Linked DNA regions of Tamandua tetradactyla. The protein of the gene in region 1 interacts with the protein of each later gene in a biochemical or structural test. Links are inferred from orthologs where the notes say so. Each region holds a gene or a part of one and is shown on either strand. Other genes may lie near its edges.

Evidence for each region.
Region 2: the proteins of PLAU (region 1) and SERPINA5 form a complex in vitro, tested with the Homo sapiens proteins (2 studies listed by BioGRID). The link is inferred for Tamandua tetradactyla from reciprocal best matches to the Homo sapiens genes PLAU and SERPINA5.

The regions. Positions count from the first base shown.
Region 1 is NC_135339.1:22,748,949-22,755,978, forward strand, and holds the start of PLAU (urokinase-type plasminogen activator), read right to left. Parts: upstream 3,020-7,030; 5' UTR 2,934-3,019; intron 2,644-2,933; 5' UTR 2,613-2,643; coding exon 2,556-2,612; intron 2,105-2,555; coding exon 2,071-2,104; intron 1,923-2,070; coding exon 1,815-1,922; intron 1,475-1,814; coding exon 1,300-1,474; intron 1,107-1,299; coding exon 1,015-1,106; intron 840-1,014; coding exon 620-839; intron 406-619; coding exon 260-405; intron 1-259. UniProt on the Homo sapiens protein: Specifically cleaves the zymogen plasminogen to form the active enzyme plasmin.
Region 2 is NC_135338.1:55,677,290-55,684,774, reverse strand, and holds the start of SERPINA5 (plasma serine protease inhibitor), read right to left. Parts: upstream 3,007-7,485; 5' UTR 2,874-3,006; intron 1-2,873. UniProt on the Homo sapiens protein: Heparin-dependent serine protease inhibitor acting in body fluids and secretions. Inactivates serine proteases by binding irreversibly to their serine activation site. Involved in the regulation of intravascular and extravascular proteolytic activities.

The DNA.
Region 1 (7,030 bases):
AATGGGATTTTCAGTCCAAGCCATATGCCTGTGGGGCCACTTCCACTCAGAGGTGCCTATCAGTTGGGGAAATTCAGGAACTGGACAGAAGAGCACCTGGTCCCTCATATTCTTTTACTCTGAACCCTTCTCCGCCATCCCTTTGTTGGGTAAAGCAGAGTCTTCAAGTCCTCCCAAAACCTCAACTTCCCACTTGGGTCTCCCCCTGGACCCCGCTTTCTCTAGCCATCATCACATCGGTTGAGGGTTTCCCACGCACCGATATCATTGTGATGAGCAAGTGTCTCAGCACTGTAGTCTTCATGCAAGATGACCTCTTCCACTTCAAACTTCATCTCCCCAGGCGTGTTGGAATTAAGCATCGATTGACCCAGGTAGACAATGTAGTCCTTTTTTAGGTCATTGCTGTAGGAGGTGAGATATGTCAGACGTTCTGATCATGGAAGAGACCCTGTCACTTCTCCCTTCCCATCACAGCAGTTTCAGAATGTGACTTGTCCCTGCGGCCCATGGGCTGAGGTGAGAGAATGGAAGTAGAATCCTTGGCTGGGAAGGAGAAAGGGATCTATGCATTTGGGGTGGGGCAGGGGTATCACCAAGAAGAGGCTGAGGGACATACATGAAGCAGTGTGCGGCACTGACGACCCAGCAAGGACTGATGAGGCTGCCGCCGCACAAGTAGGTAGTGGAGCCTCCCCGGTGCCTCTTATGGATGGCTGCAAACCAGGGCTGGTTCTCGATGGTGGTGAACTCTCCCCCGACAATCTTAAAGCGGGGCCGTACAGCCTTCTGGCCACACTGAAATTCTGGTTTTGCTGGAGAAGGGGAGGGTTTTTTACCTGGAGGAAAAGAGATGCACGTCTTGGGAAGGCAGATAGGGTCAAGTGTCCCCTCTCTGACCTCCCAGTTCTGCAGGGCCAGGGAGGCCTCCCCGCTCATCCCTCCTCTGATGGAACAAGGGGACATGCAGAGACTTTGCCCACCCTTGGTCATAAACAAGTCAGTGACACTCACCAGGAGAGCAGTCATTCACCATGCACTCTTGGACGAGCTGCTTTAGGCCGACCTGCACGTAGCACCAGGGCCGCCTCTGATGGTTGGGGTTCCTGGCAACAGAGAGAGGTGGGGGGCATCATTCCAGTCCAGAATGCCTTTCCTGTGTCCTCCCCTCCAGGGAAATTCCAGCCAGAGGTCTTGCTTTTCTGGGGCTATGGCTAGCATTCTGGGGCAGAGGGGTCAGTAACAAGGGTTTCTGTGAGGCCATGGAGAAGGCTCCTGGTCCTTGCTGTCCCAGCTCACCTGCAGTAATTATGTTTCCCCAGGCCCAGGTGAACAGCGTCAGGTCTGTGGGCATGGTATGTTTTCAGAAGGACACTGGCAGAGTTCCAGGCCAGGCAAGGCCGGCCCATAATGTCGACATTGTCCTTCCCTCGGTAAGTGTGACCATTCCCCTGATAGCAGGTTTGCGATGCATCTGTGGAAGGATATAAGGATGAGAGAATATTAGAGAGAGGAGAAAGTCCAGATGGTCATATTAGAGATCGTGCAGAGCCTCAGGTGGTTACTGATTTAGCAGAAAACAGTGGAAAGGGTCTCCCCTTCCAGCCCCATCTCGCGTATGCAGCCACTGTTTCATGAGACGGTGTGTATGTGTGTGTTCAGGTTTGGCCATGTATATTACAAAAGGATGAAGATGCCCCATCTCACCTCCCCTCCAGCCCCTCACTACTGCCTGCTCTTGCATCCCACCATCTCCTCCTACCCTGAAATGTGTGCTGCCCCCATCTCCCCACTTAGTGTCGGGATCCCCATACCTATCTCGCAGTGTTCCCCTTGGAATTTCTTTGGGCAGTTGCATCGCTGAATGTTGGAGAAGTACTTGTAGGACACACATGTTCCTCCGTTCTGACAGCCACAGTTCACTGGAGAGCACAAAGGTGAGGTCAGCCAAGGACATGGAAGGAGGCATAGGGGGAGCCAGCCCTGCAGCCAGGATAGGGAAGGGCTGCCCCCTGAGGCTCTTCTAAGATGTCTGTGCCGCCAAATACTGTACAAGGGGTGGGTACTTACATGCACCAGATGCTCGACGCAGTTCTTGGCTGCCCTGGAAGATATGAGGGGAGGGGAGCAAGGGTCAGCAAACTCTCCATACACCTGGAACTCCAGTCCCCAAATCCATTCTCCCCTTAGGCTCCCTCTTTCCTCAGCCTGTCCTTATTTAACTTGCCCTCAAAGGGAAGCTCATGGGTTTCCAGTAGAGAAATAGAGCAACTCAATCCAGCATCATACATCAGGGGCTGGCAGGCTGTAGTGTAGCAGCCCTGAGGCTTATTTCTCCCTTGTGGGCAAGTGCACTCCCCCTTGGTTCCATCTCTCTAGAGGTCCCCACTGCCACACCTGTCCTATTTTCCGGAGGTGTGGCCCTGCCACTGAAAGAATCCTAACTTAAGTTTCCTTTGCAGCCCCTTCCTTCCCCTGAAGCTGTTATGGGATCCCCTGAACAAGCAAGTCCCCTCCCACCACCAGCGCTCAAAGCAAGCAGAGGAGTCACTCACTTCGGAGTCGCTCATAACAGGGGCGCAGAGGAGTAGGCACGCCAGCAGGACCCTCATGGTGGCAAGCTTGGGGCTCTAAACTGCGTCTCTGCAAGGGAAGGAGAAGTAAGGGGAAGAAGTGGCAGAGGGAGAAAGTGGGCTTTTGGCAGGAGAGGAACCCTAAGATCCCGCGGTAACCAGGCTCCCCAGGCCCGCGGTCTCCGGGGACTCCGGGCTCCCGGTGCGGCAGCCCGGACCCGCACCCGCAGCCGGACGCGGGGGCACGCGGAGCGCGGGGACTGCTGGCAGCCACGGGACCCGCCCGGCAGCCGGGTGTTGGGGTGGAAGGGAGGCGCGCAGAGCCGGAATCGGCTGCATCCCAGGGCGGTCTGCACTCACCGATGGCAGCGACCGGAGGGACGCGGGGCCGGGAAGGCTGGGGAGAGGTTGACACTCTGCCGAGTTCCGGGGCTCCGGGTGTCGGCACTGTGCTGTGGGCCCCGCGCGCGGGCCCTATATTAGAACCCGCCTCGGCTGGCCCCGCCCCCTCCGGAATCGCCCGCCCCCTCCCTGCCCTCCGCTCCCCTGGGGCGCGCCCCGGCTTGGACCCCGCGTGCTTCCGCATTTTTTTTTTTTTTTTAACATCCATAATTTCGAGATAGCATGGTCTTTATTTACACCATTTTACTTGTAGCCGAAGTTCTGAACAGTTTCGTGCAAACATTTAAAAACCTGGCAAATGAATCATAAAACCTGATGTGGGCTCTTATGTTTCTTCGGAATAAAATTGCACATCTTAAGAAGATGCAGTTTATTATATTAGTTTTCCTGCTTTAAAATGCTTGTCACCTAGGAAAGTAGCTGGAAAACAAGAGCATCTGCAGAAGTGCTCCGGCAATGGTGACCGAGAGTGGAAGCAGCGCGCTCCCTCGGGCGTGGGTACCAGCGAGGTCTGCACGGACGGATCGAGAGGCATCTACAGGCGTCGCCCCCTCCTCCCGTTCCGCTGGCTCTAGGGGCAGAGGGGCCGGAGTTGAGAGAAGGAGAGGCGATCTCCGGAGACTTCCTTCCCCCAGCCCAGCTCCAGCGCCTGTTCCCGGGTCCCCTAAATCAGCGCTTCTCCAACCTTTCCACCCTCCCGCCCTCAACGCCTCAGAGAAGCCCTTAGTGTCTCCGGGGTTTGGGGACTCCGCCTGTGGCTCACACCAGTGGCTTCAGGCCCACACTGTTGATGCACTCTGTTGCAGAGCTGATTTTTTTTTAAGGAAGTTCCTATTAGGGATCAATTTATTTGCTGGGCCAGAGTCTCCTGGCAGAAAAAACTGGTTCATAAAGACGATGGCATTGTAAAGTCTTATTAACATAGTCAGTAGGAAGTTTCCAGCCCCTCCTCTGGGGGAACTGGAGAACGAGGAAGAGAGGAAGATTTATTTTTCACTGTCTGCCCTGGGCCAACATCTTACCCTTTTTAAGTTCTTTAAAACCCACTCTCTGTATCACCGATTCCAAAAAGATAAACAGAATTTTATATATATATATATAGTATTCTGTCTTCATAGAGCCTTGTTTTTATTAACATGAAAATAATTGCTTATCAAACAAAATGGGCTTCCATAAAGATGGACCCGCCCTTCCTGCCCACACACGCCTGCACACACACACACCCATGCACACATCCCTCCTGCACACACACACACCCATGCACACATCCCTCTGGCACAGCTGGAGGAGCGCAGCAGGGTCTCCGGTCCAGGCATCCACCCCATTCCTTTACCCTAGTGTCAGGACCCTGGGCTTGAGGTCACTGCAAAACCATCCAGCAGGACTGATTCCCTTCATGGGATGGGAGAGGACAGAGTGCCTGCAACTCACCAGGGGCCAAAGGCTTGTTCCCTCTTTCTTTCTTTCTTTCTTTTCTTTTCCTAAGAATTTTGATTGTTGAATTTTGATTTACTTAAGCCCATTTCTATGCAGAAATGAAATGGTTAGCTCCGTGGGAAAAATTCTTGGTCAAGGCCTCTACATTTTTTTCAATTTTTTTTTTTAAGTACAAAAACTTTCAAACATGCAGCGACGTTTAAAGAATTTTACAGTGTGCAATCATATGTTGCACCCTCTTTCTGCTTAGGCTTGCAATGTTTTGCTCCCTGGCAAACCTGGGGTTGGAGTCTGGATCCACGTGAGAGGGGCAAAAGGAGGGTGGGGAGATAGTTGGGAGGGCAGGAAGGAGGAAGGCCAGTTTGATCCACCCCTACCAGAGGTCTCTGAGACCCGGGTTGCTCAGGATGCCTGCCCCTGGGGGGGGGGGGGGGGGGGAGTGCAAGTTAACCATTCTGTTTTCAGGAGCAGCTGACCTCCGGAGAGAGTTCTTTTGTGCTGGGCTGAGCCACCAGGTACCCAGCAATGGACTGAGTCAAAAGGGCCTTAGAGTCAGGCTCCCTACTTCCTCTAAAACACTGTGGCAGGTTTTGTTTGCTTTTAAGAACCACGCTAATTGTAAATAAACGTGATAAAAATGTTAACAGATATGTTACAGCCTGAGAACTTACCCCGAAACTCCTAGGTTAGTTATCAGGAAATTCCCAGAAGCCTGTCGTGATTCACGCTACTCCAGTAGCTCTCATGACTCCAGATTACTTGGCTGGAGGCTGTCATGCTGATTCGCAGAGCACGATGACCTCATTTCCTCTTGGACGAAGAGGGTTGGAGACCGTTATGCACCATGATGCCCCCTTCCCCCTCTTTCTCCCCTGTTGTCTCTTTACCTGGTTGAACAATCCTAATGCCTCCAAGATTTTACAGAACTGCTTTTTTCAATCTCTGAGCTCTCCGTGGCCATCTTTTGGTACACAGTCAGTGTTAGATTTTCATTCTTTGAGGGCAAAGATCATATCTTAAATGGCTTTGTCTCTTCCTCAGCACTTGGTACCTGCTTTGTTCACACAGATGCTTTGATATGAATGAATCAGTGAATGAATGGGTACAGAGTACACTGAGGTGCCCTGAAGGGAAGGAAGATTTCCTCCATTCTTCTTTCCTTCCCATAAAGAATAATACCTCAGGATAGTTTAGGATGTAGGCTGAGATTATCATGCCCATCTTGCAGATGGGGAAGATGAGGTGGAGAAAAGATATGTAACAGATCAATTGTGGAGCAAGTACTAGAACCCAGCTATTCTGATTCTTGTTCCTGAGCCCTATACCTCCCTGCATCCATAAAGAGAGGGATACAAGACAGAAGGCTATGAAGAGAAAGGCCTGGTATGAAAGACATTCTAGCTTAGGGAGCCCTCCTGCCCAGCTTTGGAGACCTCCTTCCAGGAACACTGCTTGAGCTACGGGTCCCGAATTTCTGTGAGGCCCTTGCTGTACTATGAGTTCGTTACTAGCATGACCAAGAACTGTCTTGGTGGTTTAGGCTCTCTGAAGTTTCTGTGGAGGGTGAGAGAAGAGAGAACTGGATATGTGATGTCATTCTGTTCCTGACTCCAGGAGAAACCCACCAGCCCCCTGGCCCCTGTGTCTCAGGGAATCCAAACCTTTTGAGTCAGATGTGGCAATGGAGATTGACAGAGGGGCCCTCTTTCCAGGAACTTCTCTTTAAAAAGCAGGCACATACCAGATGTATAAGGAGGACCAGGTATCTGGACCTGACCTTGATACTGTGTCCAAGAAACTGGGGTCCCTGAAGGGCTATATACTCTGATCAGCAGGAACCAAAGGGAACTTAACACCTGGTCACAGTGTGTATTCCTGGGTTGCTCTATTACTGTTCAGCATGGTACTGTAAAAAGACCATAATGTCTGACCTCAGCTCTGCCACATATAGTTTGTATGTCCTTTAGGCAAGTCACTTAACTCTCTTGAGCTCAGTTCCCCTGCAAAATGAGGCAACCTTACAGACTGGATGAAATCATGCCGTGTGTGAAAGCATTCATTCTTTCCTTTATTCATTTTATTCAGTATTTATCATGGGCCTACCAGGCACAGTTCCTGACTCTAGAGCTAGAAGATGAGCTTTATAAATTATAACTCCTACCCCTAGTGCCTGCCTTTGCTTCCCAGCAGTGGCTATATTGGCCCTGAAGACCAGGTCATTCTGAGTCCATCCCAGGATTCCAGTCAAGTGGGGATGCTATGTCCTTGGCTGGCCGTTCCCAGCAGCTGGGTAGCTGAGACATACATCTGCATGTGCTGCTCACACCCACAGTCCTGACTACCGTTCCTTCCCTTCCTCTTCTTTGGCTCATGTGTGGCCTGAAACTCTTCTTTTCCTCCTATACACAGGGCAGAAAGACTCCTCAGCAGTTCTCGATAGGGGACCCTGAGGGCTGGTTACACAATTTCCTTGAGTCTGAGGACTCCCTTCTCCCCACATGTTTACTGCCAAAGGTCAAGATGGCTGGGCAGTGGCGGGCAGTGGCCAGTACTAAAAGCCATTTCTCAGGCCTATAACATGATAGATTTGATGATGGAGCTGGTAGGTCCCCAGTGGC
Region 2 (7,485 bases), on another chromosome or scaffold:
TGGCAGGAGATGGGGTGGAGGGTGGGGTAGGGGGGAAGGGGTGGGCATGTTTTCCCGCTGATTCCCCATCATCCATGCACTCAGATCTGTAGGCTTTTATTACAAAGGTCTGACAACAAAGTCCCACTTTGGACTCAATGGTGGGACGTGTGTAGCTGAGGACGGCCTGTCCAATATCTGCCGATTACAATATGGGGTGTAGGACTTGCAGCCCAGGCAGAGAGGGAATGACAAAGTTTTACTTTCCACTGGATTCTAGAGACCCAGAAACAGAGCTTTGTGGAAAAAGTGACCTTGGGAAACTTTCTTACCCTCTTTCTCCATTTCCAGCCCATCAACAAGGCTTGTCAATTTCCATCTCTAAAATATGTCTTAAATCTGCTTGGCTCTTTCCATGTTCCCTGTCATCATCCTAAAGAAATTCTCTTCATCTTTTACCTGAACCACCACAGTAGCTTGCCCTCTTGCCCCAGCAAGCAATTCTGCAAACAGCATTTCAAGGGATCTCCTTTGAACATGAACCTGCTCAGAGCACAGGTTACTTACGAACACCATTGCTACCCCAAGGTTTTCACATAAAAGGAAATTTGCCTTGTGTTAAAATATGCTAGCCCCTATGTGACCTGGTTCTACCTGGCTCTTGCCAGCCTCACCTCCACCTGCTTCCCCCTACTCACTCTGCCTAGGCCCACTTTATCTTTTCTCAATTCCTTAAGCATTCTCTATCCTGCCCCTGGGCCTTTACACATCCCATTCTCTCTACAGGAAATCTCTGACCATGGCCAGATTCACAATAGAGGCTTCAGGTCTCTGCTTAAATACTTCTCTGTGATGCCCTGTCAAAGCTAGTTTGACTCCCTTCCCTCCACTGTTATTCTCCACCCCAGCCCTTCAGTGTTTCTCCCATAGTTCCATCACTTAGAACTATGCAGTTACATATGCACTGCTTGGCTTCCTTTTTTTATTGTGAAAAATAACATATAAACAAAAAAGGTATAAATTTCAAAGCACACCACAACAATTAGTTATAGAACAGATTTCAAAGTTTGGTATGGGTTACAATTCCACAATTTTAAGTTTTTCCTTCTGGCTGCTCCAAGACACTGGAGACTAAAAGAAACATCAATATAATGATTCAGCAGTCATACTCTTTTGTTAAATCCTATCTTCTCTGTTATAATTCCACCCTCTCCTTTGATCTTTCTCCCAACCTTTAGGAGTATTGGGGTTATGCCTATTCTAACTTTTTTTTGATAATATGGGATAGGGGGATGGAACTAGTTGATGTTCTGGAGAGGCTGGCCCCTCTGGGTTTCAGGACTTATCTGGCCTAGGAAACATCTGGAAGTTGTTTTCTGGAAAGTAATCATAGTGCATGGAAACTTTGTAGACTCTCAGATGTTCTACAAAGGTGCTCTTTAAGATTGGCAGGAATGGTATTGATTGGGATTTGACAAACCATGATAAATAGCAATATTTAGCTGAAGCTTGAGTAAGAATAGCCTCCAGAATAGCATCTCGACTCTTTTTGAACATTCTCACCCACTGATACCTTATTTTGTTATACTTCTCCTCGCCCTTTTGGTCAGGAAGGCATTGTTGATCCCGCAGTGCCAGGGCCAGGCTCATCCCTGGGGGTCTGCTTGGCTTCATTTTCTCTGGGCCCTTCCCTGACTAGAATATGTGGTCACTGCAGGGAGGGCCCTTGTCTGTGCTGCTCTGAGCCCTGAGCCTTCCTCAGTCTAGGAAACGTGCTCTGTATAGCCTTGTGGAATGAATGAACAAATGCGTGGGTGAGTGAGTGAATGAAACCCAGTCCCTGACTCTGTAACTCCTTGGTGTGAGACCACTCATTGGGCACTACGGAGGGCAGCAGAACCAGGCTAGGCTCCCGTAGGGCGTCTCCCTGGCCCAGGGGTTCAATTTCCAGGGATTTCGAGTAATCCCTCCCTGAAGCCAACTCTGAATTCCTGTACTGCACATGAGGATGCTGGTCCCCTAGTGGGGGTCAGGGGGAGAGAAGGGGTCTCCTTTTATTGTGTCATTGCTTGCCAAGGGCTCTAGAGTAAAAAAAAAAAAAAAGTGAAAACTCCAATGATTTATGTCTAAGTTTTGTTTATTTAGCAAACGTCCTGACAGCATCCTGAGCCCCTGAGGAGCCACTGCAACCCTGCTGAGGGGCAGCCTCCAGGACAGAGCTGCGTGGTCTTATCTCAGGGCAGCAGATTAAGTTTCACAATTATCCCTGACTTCTAAGGGTTGAGAACCCCAGGCACAAAAACCAATGGAAGTTGTCATTATTGAGCACCTCCAGTCTGCCAGATATTTTGTCCCCACGACCTTATCTCAAGGTTTCTCAACCTCAGCACTGTTGACATTTTGAGCCAGATCATTCTCTGTAGTGGGCGCTGTCCTGTGCGCTGGAGGGTCCTTTGAGCAGCCTCTCCCAGCCCCCACCTGCTGGATGCCGGCAGTAAGCCCCCCAACCCCCAGTTGTGACAACCAAAAATTGTTTCCAGACATGCCAAATGTTCCCTGAGGGTAACACCAGTCCAGGTGAGGACGACTTGCCTTATTTAGTCTTCAGGTCACACCATGCACAGGGGATAATTATTTCCATCTTACTGCTGAGAAAACTGAGCCTCACCCAGTTTTAGTATCGTGTCCAAGATCACACAGCTAGTGGGTGTCCACCTCTGCTGCCTGGAAGTTGGGCTCGATCCCCACCATAACAGAGGGCTCTTCCCACTCTGGCTTTCTTCACCCTTGGATACTTCCAAATCCCATAATTCTAGGGTCCTTTCCTTACCCTTCCATGCATGTTTTTCAAGCCCATAAAACCTCTTTTCTGCACTCCACGTGTCTGTACTTACGGTGTCCCGTGGCAAGGCGTGGCAGGCAATCGAGGCAGCGGTCCGGCAGGCTGGGTCAAGAGCAGAGGGCTGGCAGGCTAGAGCTAGTATTTGTGGCTGATGGCGGCAGGCTCTGCTCCACCCCTCCCCTGGCCCCGCCTTGGCCTGCCCTGGTGAGCCCTTTCAGGCCTCCAGCCAAGAGGAAAGAGCTGGACAAGGCCGCCCAGGCCAGTGGCTCACAGCTCTGCAATCCCCACACTGGACACTGTTTGCCTGCAATGGCAAGGGCCCTCCCGGGACACATGGCTTAAAAAGCTACCAATTGCTGGCATTCCAGAGTCAAAGAAAGGGACACCATCCGGCAAACTCTCACTTTCACTAGGTTCCATTCTTTCGCTCCCTGTAGCTGATTTGTTGTAGATCCAGTGGAGTGGGGGCTTGAGCCCAAGCTGGCTGCAGGTTTCCTGTGCTTCCTGGACTCCCAGACCATAACAGTCAGATTTTGGTCTAAATTAAATGGATTGAGAGAGCCTCAGAATGGCTGAATTGAAGTGATCATTGCATCATTTCCTTGTTCCACAATGGAATTGAGACTCAGAAGATGAAGGGACTTTTGAAAGTCATATACCAAGGGTGGGGCTGGGTGATGATTAATGCCAGGGTCGGTGACTCTGACACTGCTCTTTACTTAGAAAAGGACTGAATCTGGGATTTCTTTGGGTTCGGTTGGACTGTCATTTTTCATCTTGCACTTGAGGATTCCTAAATCGGCCTTATACTTCGGGGAGTATTTCCAAGACATTAGTGCAGGATATTGGCGCAAATCTTTCTTATATTTCCAGAGGTCCCATGCCTAGAACTTCCTACCGCCTTTGTGCACTGTCTGGGGCCATGATCCAGGAAACCTGTGTGGGTGCTGCTGGGATGTGAAAATGGCAAGGGGAAAAAGCAGTATTACCCAGAGGAAGCAATCTTGATGTCCAGCAAACCAGGTCACTCCACAATCACTGTTCCTTTCCTTCTACGTAATTTTTGGGTCTGTTCCTTTTCTTCTACATAATTTTTGGGTCTGGTTTAGGGAATCTTTGAATTTTCCCAGGAATGATAAGAATCATATTTATTGAGACCCTAAGATGGAATACACATTAAGCTAAATGCTTTATATACATTATCTCTTTTAGTCCATGCAACAAGCCTACAAGGAGGCACTGAGCTCAGCTTCAATTTAGAGACAAACACAGTCATTCTTAAACAGTGGGTCCTTATTTTGCACTCAGTGTCCTCTCAAAGTACTGGGAGGTAGATACAATTATCATCCTCATTGAATTAATTGAAACAGAGAGAGGTTAGGGAATATGCCTAAAGTCACACATTAGTGTCACACATCAATGTCTAGGTTTTTCACTTTCCAACAAAGGACTCTTTTAACAAACAGTCCTTTATCTTATTAAATAGAGGTTCCTAATCAATGTTTGCATTAGTCAGAGTCCTACAGGAAACAGAACTGACAAGAAGTTATTATAGATATATATTATGTAAATATTATAAGATTTATTATAGGAGTCGCCTCAAGTGACTGTTGGGATTGACAAGTCCAAATTCCATAGGGCAGGCAATTGGAAACTCCAACGAAGGTTTTAAAAAATTCTCCAGAAGAATCTGGTAGTTGAAGTTGACATAGAAATTCTTCATTCTGACTGCAGAAATCATCAGTTCTCTCTTGAGACTTCAGCTGCTTGGTTGAGATTTCTCACGTTCCTGAAGGCAATCACCTTTGTTGATTGTACAAGTAATGAGCCATAAATGCAATCAACTGACCCATGATTTAAGTCCATGAAATGTCATCACAGTAATAATCTGGCTGCTGCTCACTTGACCAAACAACTAGACACCATAACTAGCCATGTTGACACATACGCTTAACCATCACAATGTCCTATAGGATGGAAATTGTTGTTTCACACTTGTCATAAGCTGTATAATGGCCTCCCAAAGAGATCCACTTCCTAAAGCCCAAAATCTGTGAATGTTACCTTATATGACAAAAGAGATGATAACGATGTGAATAAATTAAGGGTCTAGAACTATGAAGATAATCCTGGTTTATCAAGGTGGGTCCTAAATGTAATTACAAGGATCCTTGTAAGAGAGGGATGGAAGATCAGAGTCAGGAGAAAGTGATGTAATGACAGAAGGTAAGGGAGAAAAGGTGATATAATGAGGTTATTAGCCAAAGAATGCTGGCAGCCTCTAGAAGCTAGCAAAATGAGGGCCAGGTTGTCCCTTATAGCCTCCAGAAAGAACATAGCCCTGCCAATGCCTTCATTTCAGTCAGTGGAATGCTTCTCAACTTTTGACCTCCAGAATTACGGGAAAATAAATTAAGCCACTAAACCCACAGTAGCTTATGTAGCAGCTATTAGAAACTGATACAGATTTTAAGATCAGAAGCCAGCTGTTGCTGTAGGAAATACCTACAAATGTGGAAGTGGCTTTGGAATTGGGTAATGGATAGAGGCTTAAAGAATATTGAGGCTAGAAATATGGACGTTAAAATTTCTGTGAGTGGAGACTCAGAAGGAAGTGAGAAGCAAGGTAGAAGAAATCTATGTCATTTTAGAAAGTAACTAAATAATCCTTAATAGACTGTTGGTAGAAATATTTTACAGGTGCTGTTCTTTAGGGATCAGAAGGAGTGAGGGTCATGGAAGAGATCATGATATCTTTTAAGGTCATGATATCATCTTAAAAGAATAACAAAATTGTCATTACAGATTGTTGATAGAAAAATGAACATTAGAAGGTCTGATGAGGAGGGCTCAGAAGGAAATAAGGAATACATTATTAAAACTGGAAGATGGGGGATCCTGTCATATAGTGGCAGAAAGCTTAGCTGAATTGTATTCTATAGTTATGGGGGAAGCGGAATGTGTGAGGCATGAACTTGGATATTTAACTGAGCAGATCTGCAAGCAAAGCACTGAAGGTGCATCCTAGTTTCCTCTTGCTGCTTCTAGTAAAATGTGAGAGGAAAGAGACAAATTGAGGGAAGAATTGTTAAGCAAAAAGGAATCAGATCTGGATGACTTGGGAAATTATCAGCCTATGCAGATTGCAAAAAATACGAAAATTAGGAGATTCACTGTCAGGAAAGCGTGCTCTGCAGAGAAAGCCGAGTGTGTGGATGGACAACATTTTGCATAGCGCCTATGCAGGATCAAAAGATCAGAGTAAGCAATTCCCACAGAGGGCTCTGTAACTAGGCTATGACTCATAGATCATCTCAAACAACTCAACAGAAACCAAAAATAGCGGTGGCATTATCCAGGAAAGATCTGTGGAGGATCCCTTGTCTAATCTCATGGATCTCCACAGCATGCATGAGAAGCCCACAAGGTTTTTGGGAATGTTACAGTTGAGAAAGAAGCCCTGAACTTTCTAGGCCTTTCTTGAGTGAAGGTTACCTATTTTTGATGCCCTAATTTGGACATTTTTATAGCCTTGCTTTAATTTGGACATTTTCATGGCTTTAGAACTGTAAACCTGCAACTTAATAAATTTCTCCCTTTAAAAACCATTTTATTTCTGGTATATCACATTCCAGCAGATAGCAAACTAGAACAATCCCTTAAGTTCTGGAACCTGTGAATGTACTTTATATGACAAAAGAGACTTTGCAAATGTGATTAAGTTAAGAATCTTGAGATGCAAAGATTATACTGGGTTATCTGAGTGGGTCCTAAGTGTAATTATAAGGGTTCTTCCTGAAGGGAGTCAAGAAAGTCAAAGGAAGAAGAGGCTATGTTGCAGTAGAAGCAGCAGGGGAAAAGATAAGTATGATATGGGACCACAAGCCAAGGAATGCAGGTGGCCTCTAGAAGCTGGAGAAGGCAAGGAAACAAATTCTCCCCTTGGTTCCCTAGGACAAACACAGACCTGTTGACACCTTGGTTTCAGATTCAGTAAACCTGTTTTAGACTGCTGGCTTCCAGAACTGAAAGAGAATAAATTTGCATTGTTTTACTCCCCTAAATTGGTGAAATGTACTATAGCAGCTATAGGAAATACACACTCCCAAGTCAGTTTGAGATGAAATAACTTTTGGAAAGATGAGATTAACCCATTACTTTGAGTCTTTGTAATACTGCCTATGTTATTTGTGGTGTATATGCTGTGATTGTTCAAGAGAGACAAGATATCACAGGCATTATTTCCCAAGTTTATATTTTAAAGAACAGCCGTGGTACCCATGACCTCTCATTGCTTTTCTGAAAGGGCTCTGTAAGAACCATATCTGGAGATGCATAAGTTTTAAGGTGGAGGTTTGCAGAAGGTGTCAGATCATGGTACTCTGGGATGGTAGGATAGGATCTGCCAGCGGCCAGAATATGGGAATTTGGTCTCCAAAAAACTGCTGAGGGATGGGAAGTCTCAAAATGGGGAAATAGTCTTTGGAAGAAGGGCTGAAAAATAAATGTTGGCCCCTTTGGTGTCTTACTTTGGTTAGCACGAATGTTCTGCTTGGCCCTCAGCTTCCACATCCTCTGTTACTCCAGCAGTGGACTCCCCAGCACTGGACCTGGGGCTCATCCTGGCCTTGGAGGTGGTTGGGAGAATCTTGTTTTGGAGCCTA